Linked DNA regions of Arabidopsis thaliana. The protein of the gene in region 2 interacts with the protein of the main gene of each other region in a pairwise test. Each region holds a gene or a part of one and is shown on either strand. Other genes may lie near its edges.

Region 1 (4,687 bases), on a different chromosome or scaffold from region 2:
ATCTATATATACATTTTTGCAGCCACTTTGTGAAATAAATCCTAGAGTTGGAATTTATTTACAGTGGCTGCCACTGGCATTTAATAATTGTTTTTGATAATTAGAAAGAAAATCTTTGAATTAAATATTTGACAATCTTCCCAAAATCTCTTCACATTAACTACACGATTAGTTATTAAAATAAAACTTCCGAAATATTTAATATCATTTAATTACTACAAAATTATCATTTTGATATTGTTTTTCTACATGACTATAATAATTCGATTATAATCATCAAACCGCAGAGATATTAGATAGCATTTAATTACTACAAAATTAAAAAATATTTAGACAATGATTCATAAACATATCATAAATAAAATCAGTGAGTTTTTTTTACGGGACGGATTGGCGGGACGTTACTTAATAACAATCGTAAACTATAAAATAAAAATATTTTTACGATAAATATAATTTGCAAACTTTTATATATAGTAACTTTAAAAAATAAATTGTCTCCGCGGTATACCGTGGGTTAAAATTTAGTAGTGTTGTATAAACCACGAGGCTGTGTGCGTTTGTGAAACACAAAAGGTTCATTACCCGAAAAACTTTACTTACAAAGCTCTTTTGCTCCATCATCACTTACTTGTACGCTTACACTATGATCAACAGTTAAAAACAAAAACAAAAGAAAACGGTTTTTTGACATCAATACAAGTGAAGGGGTTGCTAAAAAAAAGCACATAAGGCAGAGAGAAGCAAGGCATTGTTGTGGCCAAAAACATCAATCCTTGCAATCTGTTACACCTTCTGTAGATATTTGAAATCGAGCTTCCGCTTCTGGCAAACATGGCGAGCTTATCACTTTACAGATTCTCTCCTCTGCTCTTCCTTTCCTCAACGCCAACCTGTATCAATTATCATAACAAACACACTTTCCTAACGAACCCTAACAAAAAACACTAAGAAACATGGATTTGTCGAATTTGCAAACATTACAGACCTTGTTGTGGTGGCATGAGCCATGATATTCCCACCAATCGGCTTAAATTGGGGACCAGCAAAAAGAGCTGAACCATCTACTTGCGCAACTACTTGGTTTGTTATAACAACAGCCACACCAAACTAGAGCCATTAAACATAAGAGAGAATACTTCAGGATGGTGTCTCAGAGCAATATTGGAAAAGAAACAGTTAGTACTGAATGTTCACCTCATCTGCTAACTTCTGAAGACTTCTCAAGAACTTTGCAAGATGCATTTGTCGAGCCGAAAGCTCTCCCCTTCCAGAGAAATCTGTTCTGTAGAGAGCGGTAGCACTATCGACAATCAGGAGAGCAAACCTGTGCCAATAGGGTCATCGTAACTTTAAAAGTTAGCACTCTCATGATAGACATAACGGAACTGAACACCAAAATAAACTCAACACACCTTGTTTCAATCATCATTGATGCTGCTTCAAGCAAAAGCCTTGACTGATGATCTGTATTATACGCCCTCGCATAGGCAACGTTTTCTAGTACATCAGCTCCATTTAATCCAAACCTGCATCATTTCATTTGATTTCTTACAGATGATTCCGTCTCAAGAACGCTATTGTGATCTCATGTGTGTTACAAGAATAACATACCTGTCAGCTATCTGTAAGAGTCTTTGTGGCCTGAATGTTCCCTCAGCATCAATGTACATGGCCTTTCCCTCTCCACCTCCTTGATCCATGGGAAGCTAATCATTCAAACGTGAACCTTAATGTGAATATCTTTCTCAGGTTTGGAAATTGTAAGAAGAAAGACAAGATCACTGATTTCTGCTAGATAAGCAACAATAACTGAGTGGTATAGGAACAGGGTTCTTACTTGACAAGTCACACACAGTGTATGGCACAGCTGAGTCTTTCCAGAGCGGAACTCACCATATAACTCTGTGATGGAACCAGTTTCAATACCTCCTGTTGAGCATACGGCAAAGTAAGATCACAATAACAAAATGCCGTTATAAGATGCACCAGAAACCAGCACCAACCTTCTAGAACTTTATCGAGCTCCCGTGATCCAGAGGTAATCTGAATAATTTCCTGTCTCTGAGCATGGAGCTGGCTCGCACTAGTGAACCCCAGAGGAACTAGCTTTGAAGCTATCACAGAAGAAAACACAAATAAGAACACACATTAACTCTAAGAGTATCAAAGAGGTGTTATGTATTTAACAGAGAAGGAAAGCAAAAAGTTTCTACATGTGTAATACCTGCTTCTACAATCTTGTCAACCTTGGCATCACTAATTCCTTTAATCTGCAAGAGATCCTTCCTCGGAGTATAAGCAACACCTTCAACAGTACAGAGACCAGCATCCCTAAGCTTCTTTACATCAACAGAAGCAATACCTGCTGCCTGAAGTTTTGAAGATTTAAAGAGATGAAATAGCATATAATCATAACACAAAACACACTGATGCATCTCCCTTTTATGAACACGAATTGAGAAGAACTATAGAGATTATATGACACTGGAGTCACAGCAATAGAGAAGTTCCCCAGAAAAGGATAAAACCCCCAAAAAGTGTCGATTTTTTTCTGAATTAAACGAACCCCTAAAACCAATTCGCCTAACAGACAGTAGCGAAACTCAATTCTCGCCCAGATTCACACCTATTTCACATCGCGATGTACAAAAAAAGCAGAAATTTTTAGTGAATTAAAGCCGAACCCATTTCAATTAGCGCAAGATCTGATGAAGCGTATAGACTGCGAAGGTAAATTTCCACAACAAATGAAAGAAATCTGCAGAAATTGAACCTGAAGCTGTTCGACAGGGAAAGGTCCGTGCTGGGTTTCTTCATCGTCTTGTTGTTGGACAGCATTCTGGTTTCTACGCTGCTCCATCGTCGTCATTTCTCTCAATCAGAGCAGATTCGGGTCACCAGAGAAAGCGAGAGAAGCAAAAGAGAGCTTGAGAGTGGAGGGAAATGGCGAAACTGAAAACAAATTGAAAGAAGCGCCACAACCAAAATTATTATACAAGACGACGATGAGGGCAAAGGCTTCTTCAACAAGTCTCGATTACGTTTGGGTCAGCTTTTCCTCGGCCTTGATCATATTGGGCTTTAAAGGCTATTAAAGCCCAAATTCTTATTCTATAAAATACTCAAAAACAACAACAAAATCCTCCTCATTTTTATTATTAATTAAGTACCATAGTAATTTTAAATTTTCAGTTAAATGCATGAAATTATAAATGTTAGATATTATCAAAGTTGATCGAATTATGGATTCTCAAAATTATTTTTTTATTTTAAATTATTTTTACTTAAAATTATATATTTTTAAAACACTAAATTAACGTTTTGTAAAAACAATAGGTGTTTGACCGCCGAGTGATACCTAGGTGTTTGAATGTCAACCAAATGGTACCTAGGTGTTTGACCGCCGAGAACCACCACAATTCCAACAATGTAGTAATCACTTATTATAACAAAAATAAAATATTACAAATATCACAAAATTTGTCAATTTTCTTTATTCAAGATGATATTTAATTTTTTTTGGTAAACTAAAACATATAGGGCCCAACCGGGTTCGAACCGGTGACCTATTGATCTGCAGTCAATTGCTCTACCACTGAGCTATGAACCCTTATTGATTTAATAAGTTCAAAATTATAAACTATGTATTTCATGAATTATTTTTTGCTAAGAAATCTAATATAGTTAAGTCAATTGTTTACTTATTTAGAAATCACATAAATTATTTATAAAAAAAAATTCACAAACAAATTAAACCATGAAAGTTTTTTAAAAAAATTTCAGTTGTTAAAGAATTATATGCAAAAACAGGTCAAAATTTGTTTTATTCAAGATGAAAAATTGCTAGCTAAAACCTTGAAATATAAGATTAGTGAACTACTTGACGCTAAATGCTAATCAAATATATAACTAAAACTCTTATAAAAAATTATTGGTAAACTGAAAACATATAGGGCCCAACCGGGTTCGAACCGGTGACCTATTGATCTGCAGTCAATTGCTCTATCACTGAGCTATGGACCCTTATTGATTTAATAAGTTCAAAATTGTAAATTATTTATTTCATCAATTTTTTTTTGCTAAGAAATCTAATATAGTTAAGTCAATTGTTTACTTATTTAGAAATCACATAAATTATTTAAAAAACAAAATTCACAAACAAATTAAACCATGAATTTTTTTTAAAAAAAATTCAGTTACTAAAGAATTATATACAAAAACTGATCAAAATTTGTTTTATTCAAGATGAAAAATTGCTAGCTAAAACGTTGAAATATAAGATTAGTCAACTACTTGATGCTAAATGCTAATCAAATATATAACTAAAGCTCTTCTAAAAAATTATTGGTAAATTGAAAAAATATAGGGCCCAACCAGGTTCAAACCGGTGACCTATTGATCTGCAGTCAATTGCTCTACCACTGAGCTATGGACCTTTATTGATTTAATAAGTTCAAAATTATAAATTATTTATTTCATCAATTTTTTCTTGCTAAGAAATCTAATATATTTAAGTCAATTGTTTACTTATTTAGAAATCACATAAATTATTTTAAAAAAAATATTCACAAACAAATTAAACCATGAATTTTTTTTTAAAAAAAAAATTCAGTTGCTAAAGAATTATATATAAAAACTGGTCAAAATTTGTTTTATTCAGGATGAAAAATTGCTAGCTAAAACC
Region 2 (7,678 bases):
AGGTGAGAAGAGTAGGCAGCTTCTGCGTTTATGAAGTAGACTGAGTTCTCTGCTGCCTCAGCAACCCAAATTTCGTTTGTCACATCCTTTGCTCTTTTAATTAGATTGCAAAATCCGACCTGCCAAAAATTAAGACCCATAACAAGCATATATTTTTCAAAATTTAATCTCTTGGTGCATATTCTCTCTGTGTAAAACTAGACAAAGATTAGAATTTGTACATACCACGGATCCAACCAAATTATGGCTGATGTGGGAAACAGAGCTATCATCCATGAATGAGGTGCTGAAGCTTATAGCAAGAAGACTGTTTGAGATTTCCCCTGAATGTTGTGCGGATCCATCTGTCACAAACACCCACTGCTTCTTTTGTAGAACATCCGTGTATGCATTTCCAACATATACAACGTACGCAGCGATATCAAATTCACTGAAGGACATAATTAGAGATGACAGGGTATAGATTAGCAAAGTGCGGTAAAGAGTGTTTCATAAAAAGCTTGGACTACTGAGATTAACCTTGAAAGAGGAATTTCACCAAGATTTGACAAAGAGATTGGTTTACGAGGGTTGAAAAAGGGCCTGAAAACATCATCAGGGAAATTGAACAAATTAATGAGATAGATTCCAGTGTGTCTACTAAAGAAAACCACTTACTGAAAATTTTCAGAATCTTTAGGAGACAAAGGCTGCCATCTTGAGCTTGACCCTCTCGCATGTAAGTAAAGTATTTCTGAATCTGAGTTTATTGGTACTAGCCCTTTCATCATGTATATTTTCCCCTCTGTCAGCTCGGTTCTCTGTCACAGTAGTAGACAATGATAACTGTTTTAAGAATCTACAAGAAAAAAGTTGAACAAGCTAATCGATGATGCTCTTAATGCAACAGTACAGTGATGGTAACGATTCTTTGATATGCATTTCAGTCCATTCGAGGTCCACAGCAACTCTGAAAAGCTTATATTTGGAACTCCCCGTTCCATATAAGCTCATATGGATAAGGTCCGTGTAAACTTATTAGCCATTAGAAAAATGCCTTGTTTTAAATTGTGCATGAAACATTCAGATTTAGGCATTTGAATGTACCTGTCTCTCCGTGGGATCCCAGATTGTTACAATGCCTTCTTTTGGATTGTGCTCTCCTTCATAACTTAAGCTCGTCAGGCCAACAAGCCTAATCCTCATGAACGGGGTGACGTTCCTTTCACCTAAACCAGCGTCTTCCAGAGTTTCTGCCACTGATTTTTCCTTCCGCATTTGCTGGGCTGCCTGAGGTTCAGATTGAAGCAGTTAATTACTGTAATCAATATATCAAGAAAAGGAAATTACTATTCTACCTCAAATTTTGCTTTATATGTAGTGAAAGATCTCAACTGCTCTGGGCTCATTTCTGCCATAAGAAATTCAGGTTCAGCAGCCGTCTCTAACAGCTTAAAGATCTTGGCTCCTTCTTCGCTGTCAGTGTCGTTCTGGCTGTGAACACCATTAATTCCTCTCTGGTACTCACACATAATACCCTCAACAAGAGCTGAGCGCCTACGGAAAATAGAAAGAAAAAAAAAAGGCAAGTATGAATGAGAATAAACCATGACGAACTGCAATCTTTGGCTCTTTTGTTGGGAAAACCATCCATAATCAGAAGGCCAGAAGCTTTTCTAATAAATACAAAGATTGTCTTTTCTAATAAAAAATTCGAGATTAGCACTCAACATTTAATTATATGTTAGCAAATAGTATAACATTAGCTAGCAAACTTATAAACGATAAATTTGACCAAAACAACATAAACCAAGGTCACTTTATCTACTTTTTGTTCTCTGAATTCTGAAAACGAATTTGAATATCGTATTCTAACAGTGAATATTGCATTTATACTAAAATTTACGATCATAGCCATAAATAAGTAGTTATGTATAGTCAAACTATATGTAGTTATGCAGTACTTTAAGACGTTTGAACCGCTAAGATTCCCATAATCTGCATGATAATATAATGTATGTAAACTGATACATGCACAATTGCACATGATAAATATAACTAAATTGATACATGCCGATTTGCGCATGATAATTATAATTATATGCTCTATAACATGTTAGGATTTAAAATGAAAAGAGCAAATGGTTCAAGGCTGCAACTTGGTGACGCCACCAAATTGTTGTATGTAACAAAATGTCTCTAGCTTTGATGAGTTAATCTGACACTTCTTAGAAAGAGATGCATGTGCTAAATTGATCACATCAATGTTACTAAAAATTGCTCTCTACAGTTATAAGGAAACTTGCCTCTGATTATGCAGCTGTATAATTCTACTTTCTATTCTCTCTGATCGAACTATTGACTTCTTTTCACCTAACCTGTATACATCAAGAAAATATAATGCTTTGCGAGAAGTATAAAGAAGACCAAAATGCATTAACAGGCACACATTTATATTGACCTTTCCTTGTATAGGATGGGGTATATTCGTTTGATGCCAGCTAGCGTTTTAGGCACTGGACCCCCATTGCACTTGATACAATTTAAAGCCAGAGGGACACCAATTTCTTTACCTTGAGGAAGGAAGAGATTATAAACGATCAATGGAAAGATAACAATATGAAAGCAATAAGAACTCAGATGATGTAGTGAGGCCCACAGCATAAAGCTACTTACAGAAGCCTAGTCGGTCCGCCCAGTGAGCTCTGTATGTCCCATTAATATTCAACAACAAACAGATTGTACTTGAAATCACTGCCTGAAAGTTTGGTTGAATGAAACTCTTATGAACAAACCAACCTGAGAAGATATCAGAAAATCTTATAAAATGCAAAGTCTAGGAAACCTCAAGTGGTGATGTTGGGGTAGCCCAGCCAGAAAGTCCTGCCCCGAGGATCTTCAGATAAGAGATAAGAACGTAAGCATGCTGCAAGTCAGTGATCTAACCAAAATCTGTGTTGCAAAACAAAGTATATCTTGCATGAAAATAACTTACTCGAAGCTTCTGCCCGACAAACAATTTGCCAGCATTCAGCTGCTTTGTTAGTACGACATCCAGAGCAGCATTCATCGAGTACCTGTGATTTTTTTAAAAAAAATCATATGGAAATGAGTCAAGAAAACAGGTAACAGAATAGCAGTAGCAATTTCATACCACCCATCAGTGAGTTCTACTTTCACATTGCTGCAACTATCAGAACAATGTGCTTCCTGAGAATCATTATCGGTCTTTGGATTAATAGCTGATATGCAGAGCACCATCATTGAAGAAGCTGGAGCATCACCACTCAGAATCCTCTTGATTGCAGAGCAATGACCATGATTGACCTCTCTCTCATATCTATTAAGAAAGATTAACCATGTTAGACTTTGCATGAGTTTAAGTAACGAGTTGTGTTGTGAGACTGGGAAACCTGTATTTTAGTTCCTCAAGAACATTGGTGATTGTCAGAAAGTTTCCTCTGCATTTGGCTGGGTAGTATATGTCGTAGCATGCAAGTTTCCAGACTATCCACCTATAGTGATTAGTGACCCACCTAGTGCATACGTAGTGATGGATAAGTTAATAGATATAGACATCAATACTCACTGTCTATCTAATAGAGTGACAATCACATGCAAGCTTCAAAAGAACGGTCACACACTTTTTCTGATATAATAAACAAATAACACGGTTAACATTTCAAGGGACAGAGAAAGTACTTTCTGGATGCATGTTGTAAGGAAGCACCAGACTCAGCCAACATTTGAAGAAAAGTTTCAGCTCCAACCTTGTTTGAAGAAGACTCATCACAGAATACATATTTATCTGCATTACTTGATTTGATTCTTCTGACATGGTCTGGCACATAATCCATCTAAAAACCACCTCGTAAGTGTGTTTGAGTGAATGAAGAAAAAAGCTATGTAACGCAGGAACAGTTGAAAGGGACAAAAAGAATTTACCCTGGTCGTAGCTGTTGGATGCATTCCAAAAAAGTCCTTGATATATACTCTTGGAGACTTTTCTGGATACCTTGTAGAAAGCACCTTTTTGGAAGTAAGTGTATCACACGATACAACAGACAAACCTGATAATAGACAGGACACCAAAACTATAAACCTGAGAACCAACCAATTAGATTAACATAAAAAATTCTTAAAAAAATTAATCATATATATTACCACTTGAAGCTTGCAGAGCATGTTTCTTTGAAGGAGTTTTAAAGGATGAAATCCTTGGCCTTTTGAAAGGAGAAACGGAGACTGTCTTTCCCAGCCTTTTCTTTTGGGTACTGTCTTGTTTATTGTATGCATAAGCTGTATCTCTGCGATTTGTTATATCAACAAGTGGCTGATCAGCAGGCCTTCCAGGTTGCCTACCTCTTGGAATGAAACCGTTTACCTTGGAATTATTCACTGCCATATCTGATGCCAAAGACCTGTTATTTGATAGTCCATGTGTAGCATTCAGAGCACAATCGGTCTCATCAACAGCCGCATCAAATTTCTTGATCAAATTACCCCCTGAAGCTAGGTTCTCCAAGTTGACTGAACTAAATTGCTTTGAAGATGACCAAAGAGGAGATACAAAACTATTTGGCGTATGTTTGTTGCTTGTCTTTTCTTCATGAGCAATATAACCTCTGTTGGCACTTCCATTGTTTATAGCAATATCACTTAACCTTTCATCTTTCTCTGGTGTAAAAAATTGATCACCTCCAGCTACATCATCAAAGAAAGACCCTAATTCAGGGTCACCAAGAAGGTTTCTGGCACGTTTTAACGCCTCAGCTGACACTGACAATGATTTTCCACCAGCAGTCTGAAACTTTGTTGGAGGCACCTTTAAAGATGGATTTAAGACTTCAGATCTCTTCCCAGATACATAATCCTCATATTGTCCTGGAGTTCCTGAATGATGCTTAACTACTGTAGCATCAAACTCCTCATGAGTTTTTAATCCGGACCACCCATGTTGCTGGGAGGAAGAAGACGACTGGTTCACATGGTTAAATCCATTCAAATCATCTTCTTCTAGTCCTAACAATGCCTTGGCCCTTGCTAAACCGGCAGAAGATACATTAACCTTTTTGTTGGAAGCTGTCTGAAAAAGACTGTTGGAAACTCCAAATCCACTCTCCCTGGGAAGAACGTTGTCTACACAATCAAAAAGAATCTTATTAACAAATAAACTATGAAAAAATGTCACTTCTAATATTCATCCTCTAAACGAAGTAAGATGTGTGTTGATTAGTTCTTCACTATTCATCATTTCATCTGATAACAACCAAACTCAAGAACCTGGAAGTTGAACGGAGTAGCAGCACAAAGAACAAGTTCATATGTAAACGCGCACACAGCTATACTGGAAATAAGACTTTAAAAAAGAGGAGATAAGAACACACCTGAGTCAATAATCTTATCACTTCCTAGAATAGACATAGCTTTGGCAATTGAAGACTCTTTCAAAGGGACAGATTTCCCCGAGGCCGTCCTGAACATTGGCAAAGTTTCAGCTGTATCCACTTGTCTCATTTGGGGAATTGAGCAATTTGTGTTCCGCAAATCTAAAGTGTAGCCAAGAACATGGAACATTCAAAAGATTTTCAGGAAACCATTTTCACCAACATTAAGTAACAATTCAAGGGAATTCAGAAACAAATGACTAGTCAAGGGAATTCAATACTGTCACATAAAGTACCTGAGTAAGTAACCTTCTCTGCTAAAATGGATTTGGCTTTAGCAATCGAAGACTCTTTAAGAACTACAGACTTCCCTAGCCCAGTCCTGAACATTGGGATTTCCCCAGGCATCGCTTCTTCCCGTGCTATAAGCTTCGAGCATCCTTGAAGCATCAAATAATAATTCAATCTCCTTTGAGTCACATGACAAACACGATTCGACAAAAAAAGGAAGAAACGAAGAATCACCTTGGAGCAAGAGATCGGCCATAGAAGGTAGAGGAGCTGTCGATTCGAGCGCCTTGGTTGGCGTAGAATCCGAGACGGACTGAAGAATCCGGCCAGCGACTTCCCACCGGAAACCATCGCCGCTGGAATCGGGAAATAATTGCCACGTCGACATTTATTCAGTTCTAGAGTTTCGAATTTTTCCGACTCGTCGTTCTCTGATTCAGCCGGAGAACTAAACCTCGCGATTCAGAATTGCCTACCACACCAAGAGTCGGGAGTGCGGAAATTTTATTTTTATATTTTCTGTTTTCTTTCCCCCCAAAACCATCACCAAAAATCTAAAAAGTTAAAAGACGGCGGGAAAGTTGAAAACGATTTGGGCCGAAATTAACTTTGGGCTTGGTTTTAACGACATAACGTCTCAAGACAAGTGAGTTAATGCCACGGCCTTTTATTGAGGTAAAAAAGGCACGAATGCTAACCGAAAATCGTTCCAAACAACAATTGCTTACGTGGACATTTTAAAACATCTGTTCAATGGTCATTGGTGACTGACTTCAATGAAAATTACATTGCAACAATAGCCAAGTATCACAGAAAGTTACATTGCAACAATTTCCACGTCAAATTTCTAAACATGCAGAACGGTAATTTACACGGGGAAGGCGCTGAGGAGGCGGAGGGTGCTACGGAGGGGATCGCAGGAACACCGATGAATGAGAAGAATCCAGAGGCGGCATGATCTTGCTCGTCGAGGAGAGTGGATGATGCTCTATAAACGGCCAACAATATGGTCGACGTACACCTAAAATGTCTTGCTACGTGGATGCACCACTAAACCTTTCAACTTTTTTGTGTTTTCTTTTCTTAATTAAACACAAGATTAATTAGGAAATCTTGTGTTTCGTTCCGTTTCGTTTCGATTTCTGGTTTCTTGTTTCTATTACTCAAATTATTGCTCGAGTGTTAGGTTTGCTTGTATCTATCCTTGTTTTTTCCGTGATTATGTAATTTGATTGGCCCTTGTAGTCGAGATGTTTGTAGCCTTGATGGCTCGGGGAAACTCAGAGAGAGAGTTGGTCCCGGTTGCATTCTCCGCTGTCTTACTGATACCATAAACACCGTTTGATCCATGATTGCCTCTATTGTATACTTGATGCTTCATGATATATGCATTCTCCATGTCTCTGTTTCATGTTTACGCATAAAAATATTATCAAGCCTCAAACTTGAATTCGGTTCAAAATCCTAGACATCCCCAAGAGGATCATAAACACAGTTTAGACTTGTTTTTCAATTAGCAAACAGTTGCTTGATAAGAAGTCATTCCTACAGCTCATGTGTAACACAATTCTCTCTCTTTTCTCCAACACCCCAACTAAAACAATCTAAGCCGTTTCTGAATGTTTTCCGGATCTGCTGAGTCATAAATACGAGTGCTTTAGGCAGGCAAATAAGACTCCAGCATCAATTTGGCTGGGGAAGGTGTTAAAATCTCTACGATCAGGTACGTGTATTTCCATTCCTTCTCTGCCTTGTCTTTAAACATCTCCGTGTACACTTTCCCTGCTCCTTGAGGCCCACGGATGTAGAAGTTTACCTGAAGCATATTCAATTTTGATCATGTTAAACCTGCAAAACTCTAGACAATTTATATAGCAAGAATGTGAATCCAAGCGCAATAGAGGTTCTACAATGAAATACCTCAACATGCTCCACTCCGTCTTCATCTGTAAATACTCTGTTGGGTATACGTTGACGAGCAGCTCGGTTTCTAGTTTCTTGTCCATAGCCTTTGATGGGGG
Region 3 (3,833 bases), on a different chromosome or scaffold from region 2:
AAAGACAGCTTCAAGCTTATAGGAAGTGGACAAAAACAAGAAGTGTTCATGAGTATAGAGAACTCGAATATCGCGCTTGCCATCTTCTCAAAGAGGTATTCTGAGTCATATCGGTGTTTGAACGAGCTTGTGAAGATGGAAGAGCTTGCCAAGGAAGGAAAACTCGTGGTCATTCCAGTCTTCTACAGTGTGAAAACAAACGAAGTGAGAAGACTTGAGGGAGAGTTTGGAATACATTTTAGAAACACAAAAGAGAGATTTGCTATGGAACCAATGATGGTTGAAAGTTGGGAAAAATCCTTGAAGTCATCTACTGTTACAGGGAGGATTGGCTTGAGCTTGGAAGCACACATGTAATAGAATATTTAATAGAACTCTTGTTTTGTAGTAAGATCGACTTTGTGGTAAGGTCGTCTAATCAGTTTCTTTCACTCATTTTGCAGGAACGAATTTGCTCTTGTCGGTGCCATTGTTAAAGAGGTTACAAGATTACTACCAAACTCTCCAAAGAAGAAGAAGAAGAAGAAAATTAGGTATTGGAGAAGTTTTCTTGAGGGCTTTGACTGCTACATTTATCTTTGCTGTCTTCATATACCCTATGCCTATGCCTGATGTGAACTTTTTGAAAATTGGTAAGTTGTTATTAGGCTTTCCGTTTTTGGTTGTTGTCTTGCACAAGATTTTATGTTAATATTAGAAACAAAATGATGTTTTCTCGCTTCTGGCTTGTGGACGCTAACACTATATGTAATGTTGTGACGCACATCAGCTATGTCTATTTGAATGTTATCTCTACGGTTATTTTGTGATGTACATAGTAAACCAATCCATGTCCACACCGCACTGTGTTGAGAGAAGATGGTGATTATCAGAATAGAATTACTATCAGCTCAAATTTATCATCTTCAAAGACGAGAAATTTGCATCCAAGGAAGAGTATAATGTGTAAAGGAAAAGGAGAACCGATACATGCTACGATAAACCAAAGGATGCAATTCAAACAAAAAAGCCAAGGTTCCCTAAATGAGAAGACCTGCCTTTCTCGCAATCTTGGACCTCATTTCTTCTCACTAGCATTCTCAAGCTCCTTCTTTAACTGACGCGAGAAGTCGTCACTGACATCATCATCATCCCAGTCATCTTCCCACTGCAGGCTAACTTCCTTCACTTCCTCTTTCTCCAACCAATCTGCCAAACATAACAATAAAAATATCCATCTTTATCAATTCTTTCAATAAAGCTATTTGTTAAATCTCAAGACTGAACTAACATTGCAAAGCAAAATCTGTTAAAATCAGAAACTGATCCTAGCTTAAGTTGAATTGTACAACTCTCCCCCAAGCTACTCAATGCCCCCAAATAATTCCTAAATCCACCATAACCTTTAGGCCCTTTAGCTCATGAAGCCTTGCCGATTAATAATGCAAACATAATCACCAGTAGTTTGCTCATAAAACTGCACTATTATCCATCAAGTTTATGAGACCGTAGCTTCATCATCATAAACATATATCAAACAGATCCGTTTTCGCATCAGAACTACCCAACTTCATACAATAGAGACTATCTTAGTTTGTATAAGACAGTGCAGAATCAAAATTTGTATTTATACCAAAACCTAATCAATCACCAAATCAGTTGCTAATGAAATTTGCTCTTATCTCCATTAATTTTATAACCGATGATGAATCAATTTCGAAAATCAAAGAAGCAATTAGTATAAAACAAAAAAATCACCTTCGTTGATTTCAAATTCCTCGAACTCATCGTCGTCCTCGAATAGATCCACCTTCACCACTTCGACAGCTGCCTTGGGTTCTGCCGCCATAGTTACAGATGTTTAAGCAAATCAACCAGATCGAGAAAAAAACCTAAGAAGAAGATCACCAAACTCGATTAATTCCTCCAAGTTAAACCCAACCAGAGCTCTTTAAACGAACCTTTTTTTCGTTTTGGGTCTAACTTGAAGAAGGGGAAAATTACCAATTTCCAATAACCGACCCGAATCTTATATGATTCATACCGAATCCGACCCGAATCTTATATGATTCATACCGAATCCGACCCAATATTAAAAATATCCGATTGAGGTTTAAAAGAAGCTGTTTTAGACCGGTCCAATAGTCGCATTCGTCTTGACCAAATCCATGACATACAAACCGGTCCAAAAGTTGTCACGCTTTCCCCACAGAACCCAGCTGAGTCAACTCGTTAGTCTGAGTTAACTCGCTAGGCGTGACAGAGCAGTGAAGACAAAGCAAAGTCCTTTTTCGGATTCCTTCTCTTTCACTATAAGATGACATCCCTCATTACCATTTTTCCTTAAAGCTCACTTTTTCTTCTTTAACCTTATCGCCACAAAACAGCGACATTCGACGCCAAATACATAACATCGTCGTCAACAGGTTTTGTCTCTTATCTTCTTCTCTGCATGAATCATGTTCTTGTTAGACATTTTCTGAGTTCTGGGTTTGATTTTGGCCCAATGATCCATAAATGTTGAAAATCATATTTGAAGGCTATGAATTATGAACATTTTATTTTAACCTTTTTCTAGCTCTAATGAGATAATTAAGTAAAACCCTACTCGAAATTTCTGAACTTTTTGATGCTTTGATTCGTTTCCTGTGATCCTTTACCTAGAGAAAATTGAGATTGATTATGTGACAAGTGACCATCTATAAGAAATCTCTCAAAGTTTTCAACTTTACTCACTCTATTGAGGTGAAAAAGAAAAATTGTGCATTCTGAAATTTTTATTCTTTTCGTTTGTCATGTGAATTTTCGTGTTTGATTTTTTATTAGTAGCAAAATGGCTAGGTCTGGGGTTGATGAGACATCAGAATCTGGAGCTTTTGTAAGAACAGCATCAACATTCCGCAACTTTGTTTCACAAGATCCTGATTCTCAGTTTCCAGCTGAATCAGGAAGATACCATCTTTACATATCTTATGCTTGTCCATGGGCTTGTAGATGTCTTTCTTACTTAAAGATCAAAGGACTTGATGAAGCAATCACCTTCTCGGTTAGTACAAATTCATTGCTCATATCGAATTAGAAGACTTTGTTAACCTGAAGCATTTCTGTTTTATTTGATTTGATTAGTCGGTTCATGCCATTTGGGGAAGAACCAAGGAAACTGATGATCATAGAGGATGGGTTTTCCCGGATTCGGATACCGAGCTCCCTGGAGCTGAGCCTGACTATCTTAATGGTGCCAAAAGTGTGAGAGAACTCTACGAGATTGCTAGCCCAAACTATGAAGGGAAGTACACTGTTCCTGTAAGTTTTGATCTCTTTGGTGAACTCTTTAATCTTTCTTTGTCCTGTTTCTTGAATGTTTGTTTTGTTATTATGTTAGGTTCTTTGGGATAAGAAGCTTAAGACTGTTGTTAACAATGAGAGTTCAGAGATAATCCGGATGTTCAACACTGAGTTCAATGGTATTGCGAAAACCCCGTCACTTGACCTTTATCCTTCTCATCTCAGAGACGTAATCAACGAGACTAACGGATGGGTTTTCAACGGAATAAACAACGGTGTTTATAAATGTGGGTTTGCAAGGAAACAAGAACCCTATAATGAGGTATATATCCCTCAATGTCTTAAACATTTGAACAGGGATTCAAAAATTGATCCCTTTTCTCTCCAGGCAGTGAACCAGTTATATGAAGCAGTAGATAGATGTGAGGAAGTACTCGGAAAACAACGATACATCTGCGGAAACACTTTCACTGAAGCAGATATCCGATTATTCGTCACTCTCATAAGATTTGATGAGGTATATGAGTCAACTTGTCTTCTTTGTTTCCAAATAGAAAATCCATCAGGTT
Region 4 (5,613 bases), on a different chromosome or scaffold from region 2:
TGATTTATTCTTGTACAGGGAGTTTCTTCATTGACGAGGTGAACAAAGTCGCCGTGATTTTCGGGCAACCGTTGAAACGCGACAAAGTTTTCATCATTGGAGAGGCTGGACAAGTCCGAGATGTTGATCTCGGAGAACCTGCCCACCAAGATAGTTGGCTATATGTGTGTCCTTATGTTCCAAGTTTAGTGAAAATCAAGCAACCTCCAGGATGCAAAAGGAGAAGACAAAGCAGTTCAGAAAACCGTCGATATAAGCGAAACATGATGAGACTTGTCGAACTTGAAAAGTATCATATTGCCATGGAACCCAAAAGAGGAGACAAAACAATATGAGAGTTTTGCAGCAATTATGAAATCGATTGATGTGCAGGAAAAAACTGGCAAAGTGAGAAAACGAGATGATTAAAATTATTCATCCCTTTCATTTCTATTTTACGTTACTTAGATGAATAAAAAAGAGAAATTTAAAGAGTTTTTTCATCCACTAAAATAGAGATGAATAAGTTGGAGAGGAATAACACATTATTCAGTGCAACTGATTAATCAATGATCATAATGAACTTTTACTTGTTACTTGTTATAAAGCCATTATTGTCTTTTTACAAACGAACCAGAGTTGTTTTGTTTGCAGCTTTATCAGATACATAGATTGGTTTTGTAAGCCGAATCAAGTAATGATCGTCTTATTTGGTAAACAAGAAACTAAGAATAAAAAGACTTAATTAAAACGTCTGATTCGATGCAGAAACAAGCAGCAAGTTAAGAACAGACATAATTCGTGATTATGACATATAAAAGAGTTCGCTCCTCTAATCCTTCGCGTCAGCAATGCCTCCTTGAGTAATCTGGAAACTGTGATTTCTTCAGTTAAGGAAAAAAATGAAGTCATTGCATTATATGAAATAATCAAAAACAAAGCAAGTGTGTGTGTGTGGATTTGGTTAAAAGGATATGGCTTCAGCTTCAGCGAGATTCGGAGCATCGTAGACTTTGCAGACACGTGTATCGCCTTTGCCTTTCCTGAACAAGAGCCTGATGGTGGCTGCGTGAGCTAGTACATGACCACCTGCTGGCTTTTTTGGGTCTGATATGAACATTCCACCACCTGGGTCAGCTATGACTGCAAACCACCAAATGAAACAGATGATACTTGCTAAGTTAGTGCAACCAAGAAACAAAAAAAGAATTGATGCTTTATCTCATTATATCAAACTAGTGTAAAGTAAACCTTGGTTAGTCATGTAGACAGCAACGTTGAACTCCTCTGCAATTTTGATTAGCCTGGAAAGCATCTGAGCTAGTTTTTGCTGCAACACAGAAACTGGGACTATTGAGCAAAGCCAGATTGTGCCAATGATAATGTAAGTAATGTTGTGGGAGGCAAGTTTAACCTGGCGGTCTGCGAGTTCTCCTCTTCCAGTGAAATCCACTCGGAATAAAGCAATGATCGAGTCAACAATCTGGAAACAAGGTCAGAAAACTCAGCTAATTTAACTCATATTTGAATGGATAACTAAACTAAAATTATCAGACATGTTTTACTTACCAGAATCCTAAATGGTTCCTCAGACATTTTTGCAGCAAGGCCAAGAAGCAAGTTGTACTGATGCTCATAGGTATAAGCACGAGCATAAATGATCTGTTATATCAAGATGAATAAGATTTTTGAATGTCAGTCACAGTCCTGAGAGTAAGTAAAGATGTGAGGTTAATAATGCTTACATTGTCAAGCACAGCTCCTGGATCCATTCCAAATCTTTCAGCAATTGGGACAATCCTATCAGGACGGCTACAAAATTTAGGGGTTAAGGAAAAATCATGGAATATAGAAACAATCTAATGAAGACACAAGATCTGGTCAGAAGATTTGTTATAAGATATTAAGGATACAAGGTTCCCTCTGTGTCAATGTATGCCACTTTTCCATTCCCTCCTTTCATGTTTGTAGGTAGCTGTAATACATCAATACAGAAAATGAATACCAATGACATTGAGAGACAGAGTACCTCAATGGTTTATATGCTGAAAGAAAGTAAAATCTCATCTCATGCCTCTGAAATGTAAACAAGACAACATATATTTCATATTGAGACTGTAGGAAAGAAACCAACCTGCGTAGTGACACAAAGGGTATGTGCTAATTGGGTTTTCCCAGACCTGAAGTGAAATTAAACTCTATAAGAATACAAGCTATTAACAGGAAACTTATAGAGCTTGGCTCAGCTGTTTCTCACCTAAATTCCCCAAAAGCCTCTGTGATGGCTGAGGTTTCAATTCCACCTAGCAAGAAATGTGAAATAATTAAACCAGAACTTAAGTAGTGTGATCAAGATGGCAAAAATCTAAAGCAAAACTTAGCATACCTCCTAAGAGATCATCGAGAGCTTGACACCCTGTAGTGATTTTTACAACTGATTTCCTCTGTAAACAATTAAAAAACAACTTGTAAGTTTCAATATCTAATATGAAATGTTGAATAGGATATCAAAATCTAATAGTTCTGTTAGTGGGATCAAGCAACAATGAGTCTAACCTTTATAAGAGCATCACTTCCAGTCATATATCCAAAGTTCTGAAGGAGAAATGGTTTGACAATTAAAATGACGCAAATGCAGAAAGTAACACTGATATAGCAACAACAGATGGAAACGTTAAACTTACCACAATTTTCTCAGCAGCTTCACAGATTTTGTCAACTTTGGCCTCAGATAAACCTTTGATTCCAGTAAGGTTCTGCATCAAACATAAGTTTAAACAATCGACTCATGCAACCAACATCTACATAGTATAAACCCAATGAGCAAAGCTAAATAAGCTGGTTAATACCTTCTTGGTATGCATCATGAGACCATTGCAGGTATGGATCCCAGCTTCTTGTAGCTTTTTCACATCTCCTGCGTTTATACCTTGTGCGATCACTGACACAAGCAAAAATAAAAGTCCCGAGATCAAATCAGCTAGAGATTTTAGCCAGATACAGAAATCAAACAACTATGTACACTAATATACACTCGAATTCCACAAACAGTAAACGAAATGGACCATAAACTATTCGTTACCAAGGAGAACCATGTTCAGAAATCAATATCGATCCTAGATTCATACTTAAATTCGAAATCTAACAGAGATTGCGAGAACATTCCTCAAATTAGATGAACGATTCTAGATCTGATTTCATAAGACCCAGCGATTAAGCAACAACGAGGTTTAGATAAACAAAAGTGGGCGAAATTAGAAGAGATAAACACACAGAGACGATTCCAAAACAGATGATGAAGATTTGAAACGAAAAAGTGAAGAATCGTAAAAGTTGAAAACGAATTCAAATCTTACATTTGTCAATCATCTCAAATAGATCTTCGTCTTCATCATTTTCTTCACGCTCAACGAGCTGCATCTGGCTCGTTTCTTCAGCTCTATGAATCCGAAACAACACAAACAGATCAGGATCATCGGAAAACAAAATAAAAACGAGAAGAAGCGAGTCAGGTACACAAAACTTAAGACAAAGCTTAAACCAAAACGATGAATGGAGAAGAAGAAGAAGAATCGTAGTAGAGAGAAAGAGAGAGATCAATCACTTACTTAAGAGAAGCCATCATTTTCTCGCTCTAAGAGTCTCTAAGCTTGGAAGAGTGAGAGAGATAGAATTTTGAAATTCGAAATTTGAAAATCTTTGCTCGATTTGCTTCGAGGGTTCAAGGTTTTTAATGGCGGGTTACGGAATTGAAAGCGTGATTCTAATTCCGTTGATTTGAATTTGGGTTCCGCAACTGAATTTGTTTTCGTTTGTGTGCTCTTCTTTGTTATACATGACTTTGTTTGATGGCTGCGATAATGCCACGTCATAGTTATCATCCGTCTATCGACGGTCAATAGAAGGAATCTAGGTGAAAAAAAGAGAATATTACACTCTTAAACACTTTTTTAAAACTATTTCTGTGTTTAGGCACTTTCAAAAGATTAGGCACTTTTTTATGTTTTTTTACTAAAATACCCTCTTAACTAAAATATTATCTTAACCCACGTTTTCTCTCTTTCTCTCTCTCTCTTCATCTCTCTCTTTCTCTCTCTCTCTCTCTTCATCTCTCTCTCTCTCTTCACCTCTCTCTCTCTTCATCTTTGTAAAAAATGAGAAGAAACTTCTTCTTCTTCAACAATGGCGGTTTGATTTGATTTTTGCTCTCTCTCATGTGTCAAACTCGTTTCATCTACGTAGCATCGAGATTTCAGTTAATCGAATCTCCTGTTATCATGGACATGTTATATAAAATGGATATAGATCAGTAAAAAGGTTTCCGAATGGATATATTTAAATGGATTCGTTATTATGGACACCAAAAAATTGTTTGTTGATTTTTTTTTCAGTTTGCAGAGACCTCCACCTTCAAAACCTTATGGACATGGAACTTTGGTTTCTTTACAAAACACGGTTAATCGAATCTCCTATTATTATTGACATGGTATATAGAATGGATACGGATCAGTAGAAAGGTTTCTGAATGGATATATTTAAATGGATTTGTTATTATGGATACCAAAAAATTATTTGTAGCAAATCAACCGCATATAGCTTGTTTTTAGGATGTTAGACATGCTTCTCCAATTCTTCATCTTTTACTCTTAACATGTAAGACCAAAAGATTTACAAATCTCACCATATCAATCCATAATATACAATCCATGATGCGTCATCCATAATATGTCATCCATGATTCATCATCCATAATGTGCCATCCATAATTTGCCATCCATAATGGACATCACCAATAACAAACGCCGTAAGAGCTACAAACACATCCTTAGCCACCAATGAAGATTTACCAAACACAAATAATTCCAATGAACAAGATTTCAACAAGAACACAAATTCTTTTTAAGAAAACACAAATAACCCTAGTCATACAGAATTACTCGCCAAATCAATGAGAACACAAATGCCTTGTAATAAATCACAAATAACCCTAATCATCTAGAATTAGTCGCCAAATCTTACTTAAATTAGATCCATCTTGATATCTCTTCTAATCTATGTTGTATGCTTAGTTGTTTCCTATTGATTCCCAACTTGATTAAAAACGAAATCACCAAACATAGCCAAAGAATTCGCCAGAACTCCATGACACTCTTCCGTAGCCAAAGAATCGTTCATCATAAACAAACAATCAAATTTTTTTAATCCATGGAAAGAAATCACAAACCTGTCCAACACAAGGAGATCCTCCTTCGTCTAGAGTAACCATAGGAAAAACCTCCATTTACTACTATTATCATGTTCATGAGGAAAGTTGTGTGGATTAAAGAACTTCACAGAGAATAATCGATTAATTTCATGAGAAACGATTTTCAACATCTCTCTGCTTCGTTTTTAAACTACTATGGATTTATGAAAAAACGATCTTCAGGAAGGAGAAAGGGAGAAACGATTGTTTTTTTAGAGAGAGAGATTTAGTTCTAGAGACGAAGAGAAATACCTTTTTCTAATCAGATTTTAACATCAAAAAATTAATCCATTTATTGTCTTTAATCTCAGCCATAGATCTTAATTTTTATTTTTCAATCTAATGGTCTATATTAATAACTACGTATCTAAATTCTTTTATTTTTTTAA

The links.
Region 1: the proteins of BRCA2(IV) (region 2) and RAD51 interact in binary tests that used the Arabidopsis thaliana proteins (3 or more experiments, as listed by UniProt).
Region 3: the proteins of BRCA2(IV) (region 2) and DSS1(V) interact in a two-hybrid assay, tested with the Arabidopsis thaliana proteins (one study listed by BioGRID).
Region 4: the proteins of BRCA2(IV) (region 2) and DMC1 interact in binary tests that used the Arabidopsis thaliana proteins (3 or more experiments, as listed by UniProt).

Annotation. Positions count from the first base shown.
Region 1 is NC_003076.8:7,069,989-7,074,675, forward strand, and holds RAD51 (RAS associated with diabetes protein 51), read right to left. Parts: upstream 2,979-4,687; 5' UTR 2,873-2,978; coding exon 2,777-2,872; intron 2,373-2,776; coding exon 2,228-2,372; intron 2,118-2,227; coding exon 2,007-2,117; intron 1,933-2,006; coding exon 1,841-1,932; intron 1,710-1,840; coding exon 1,615-1,709; intron 1,530-1,614; coding exon 1,416-1,529; intron 1,328-1,415; coding exon 1,198-1,327; intron 1,111-1,197; coding exon 989-1,110; coding exon of another isoform or gene 925-988; exon of another isoform or gene 894-924; coding exon 770-893; 3' UTR 503-769; downstream 1-502. UniProt on the Arabidopsis thaliana protein: Binds to single and double-stranded DNA and exhibits DNA-dependent ATPase activity. Unwinds duplex DNA. Component of the meiotic recombination pathway.
Region 2 is NC_003075.7:4,320-11,997, forward strand, and holds the start of BRCA2(IV) (BREAST CANCER 2 like 2A), read right to left. Parts: upstream 6,046-7,678; coding exon 5,892-6,045; intron 5,807-5,891; coding exon 5,663-5,806; intron 5,529-5,662; coding exon 5,367-5,528; intron 5,119-5,366; coding exon 4,144-5,118; intron 4,050-4,143; coding exon 3,925-4,049; intron 3,837-3,924; coding exon 3,710-3,836; coding exon of another isoform or gene 3,682-3,709; intron 3,629-3,681; coding exon 3,595-3,628; intron 3,516-3,594; coding exon of another isoform or gene 3,495-3,515; coding exon 3,393-3,494; intron 3,320-3,392; coding exon 3,134-3,319; intron 3,057-3,133; coding exon 2,975-3,056; intron 2,876-2,974; coding exon 2,825-2,875; intron 2,738-2,824; coding exon 2,656-2,737; intron 2,553-2,655; coding exon 2,441-2,552; intron 2,358-2,440; coding exon 2,286-2,357; intron 1,537-2,285; coding exon 1,338-1,536; intron 1,270-1,337; coding exon 1,087-1,269; intron 801-1,086; coding exon 658-800; coding exon of another isoform or gene 654-657; exon of another isoform or gene 583-653; coding exon 520-582; intron 431-519; and 4 more. Other genes in the region: SD3 (import inner membrane translocase subunit), read right to left, coding at 7,315-7,473, 7,578-7,678. UniProt on the Arabidopsis thaliana protein: Involved in double-strand break repair and/or homologous recombination by mediating RAD51- and DMC1-facilitated DNA repair. Plays an essential role in both somatic and meiotic homologous recombination.
Region 3 is NC_003076.8:18,166,394-18,170,226, forward strand, and holds DSS1(V) (DSS1 homolog on chromosome V), read right to left. Parts: upstream 1,991-3,833; 5' UTR 1,829-1,990; coding exon 1,738-1,828; intron 1,189-1,737; coding exon 1,058-1,188; 3' UTR 613-1,057; downstream 1-612. Other genes in the region: AT5G45000 (Disease resistance protein (TIR-NBS-LRR class) family), read left to right, coding at 1-353, 444-612; AT5G45020 (Glutathione S-transferase family protein), read left to right, coding at 2,813-3,025, 3,106-3,282, 3,362-3,586, 3,653-3,781. UniProt on the Arabidopsis thaliana protein: Subunit of the 26S proteasome which plays a role in ubiquitin-dependent proteolysis. Also associates with the TREX-2 complex that is required for transcription-coupled mRNA export.
Region 4 is NC_003074.8:8,097,137-8,102,749, forward strand, and holds DMC1 (DNA repair (Rad51) family protein), read right to left. Parts: upstream 3,797-5,613; 5' UTR 3,605-3,796; coding exon 3,588-3,604; intron 3,419-3,587; coding exon 3,336-3,418; intron 2,921-3,335; coding exon 2,829-2,920; intron 2,736-2,828; coding exon 2,664-2,735; intron 2,575-2,663; coding exon 2,536-2,574; intron 2,424-2,535; coding exon 2,366-2,423; intron 2,283-2,365; coding exon 2,237-2,282; intron 2,160-2,236; coding exon 2,114-2,159; intron 1,955-2,113; coding exon 1,893-1,954; intron 1,792-1,892; coding exon 1,725-1,791; intron 1,642-1,724; coding exon 1,549-1,641; intron 1,463-1,548; coding exon 1,394-1,462; intron 1,310-1,393; coding exon 1,231-1,309; intron 1,123-1,230; coding exon 956-1,122; coding exon of another isoform or gene 944-955; exon of another isoform or gene 903-943; intron 857-902; coding exon 812-856; 3' UTR 542-811; downstream 1-541. Other genes in the region: AT3G22870 (F-box and associated interaction domains-containing protein), read left to right, coding at 1-335. UniProt on the Arabidopsis thaliana protein: May participate in meiotic recombination, specifically in homologous strand assimilation, which is required for the resolution of meiotic double-strand breaks. Mediates interhomolog recombination during meiosis.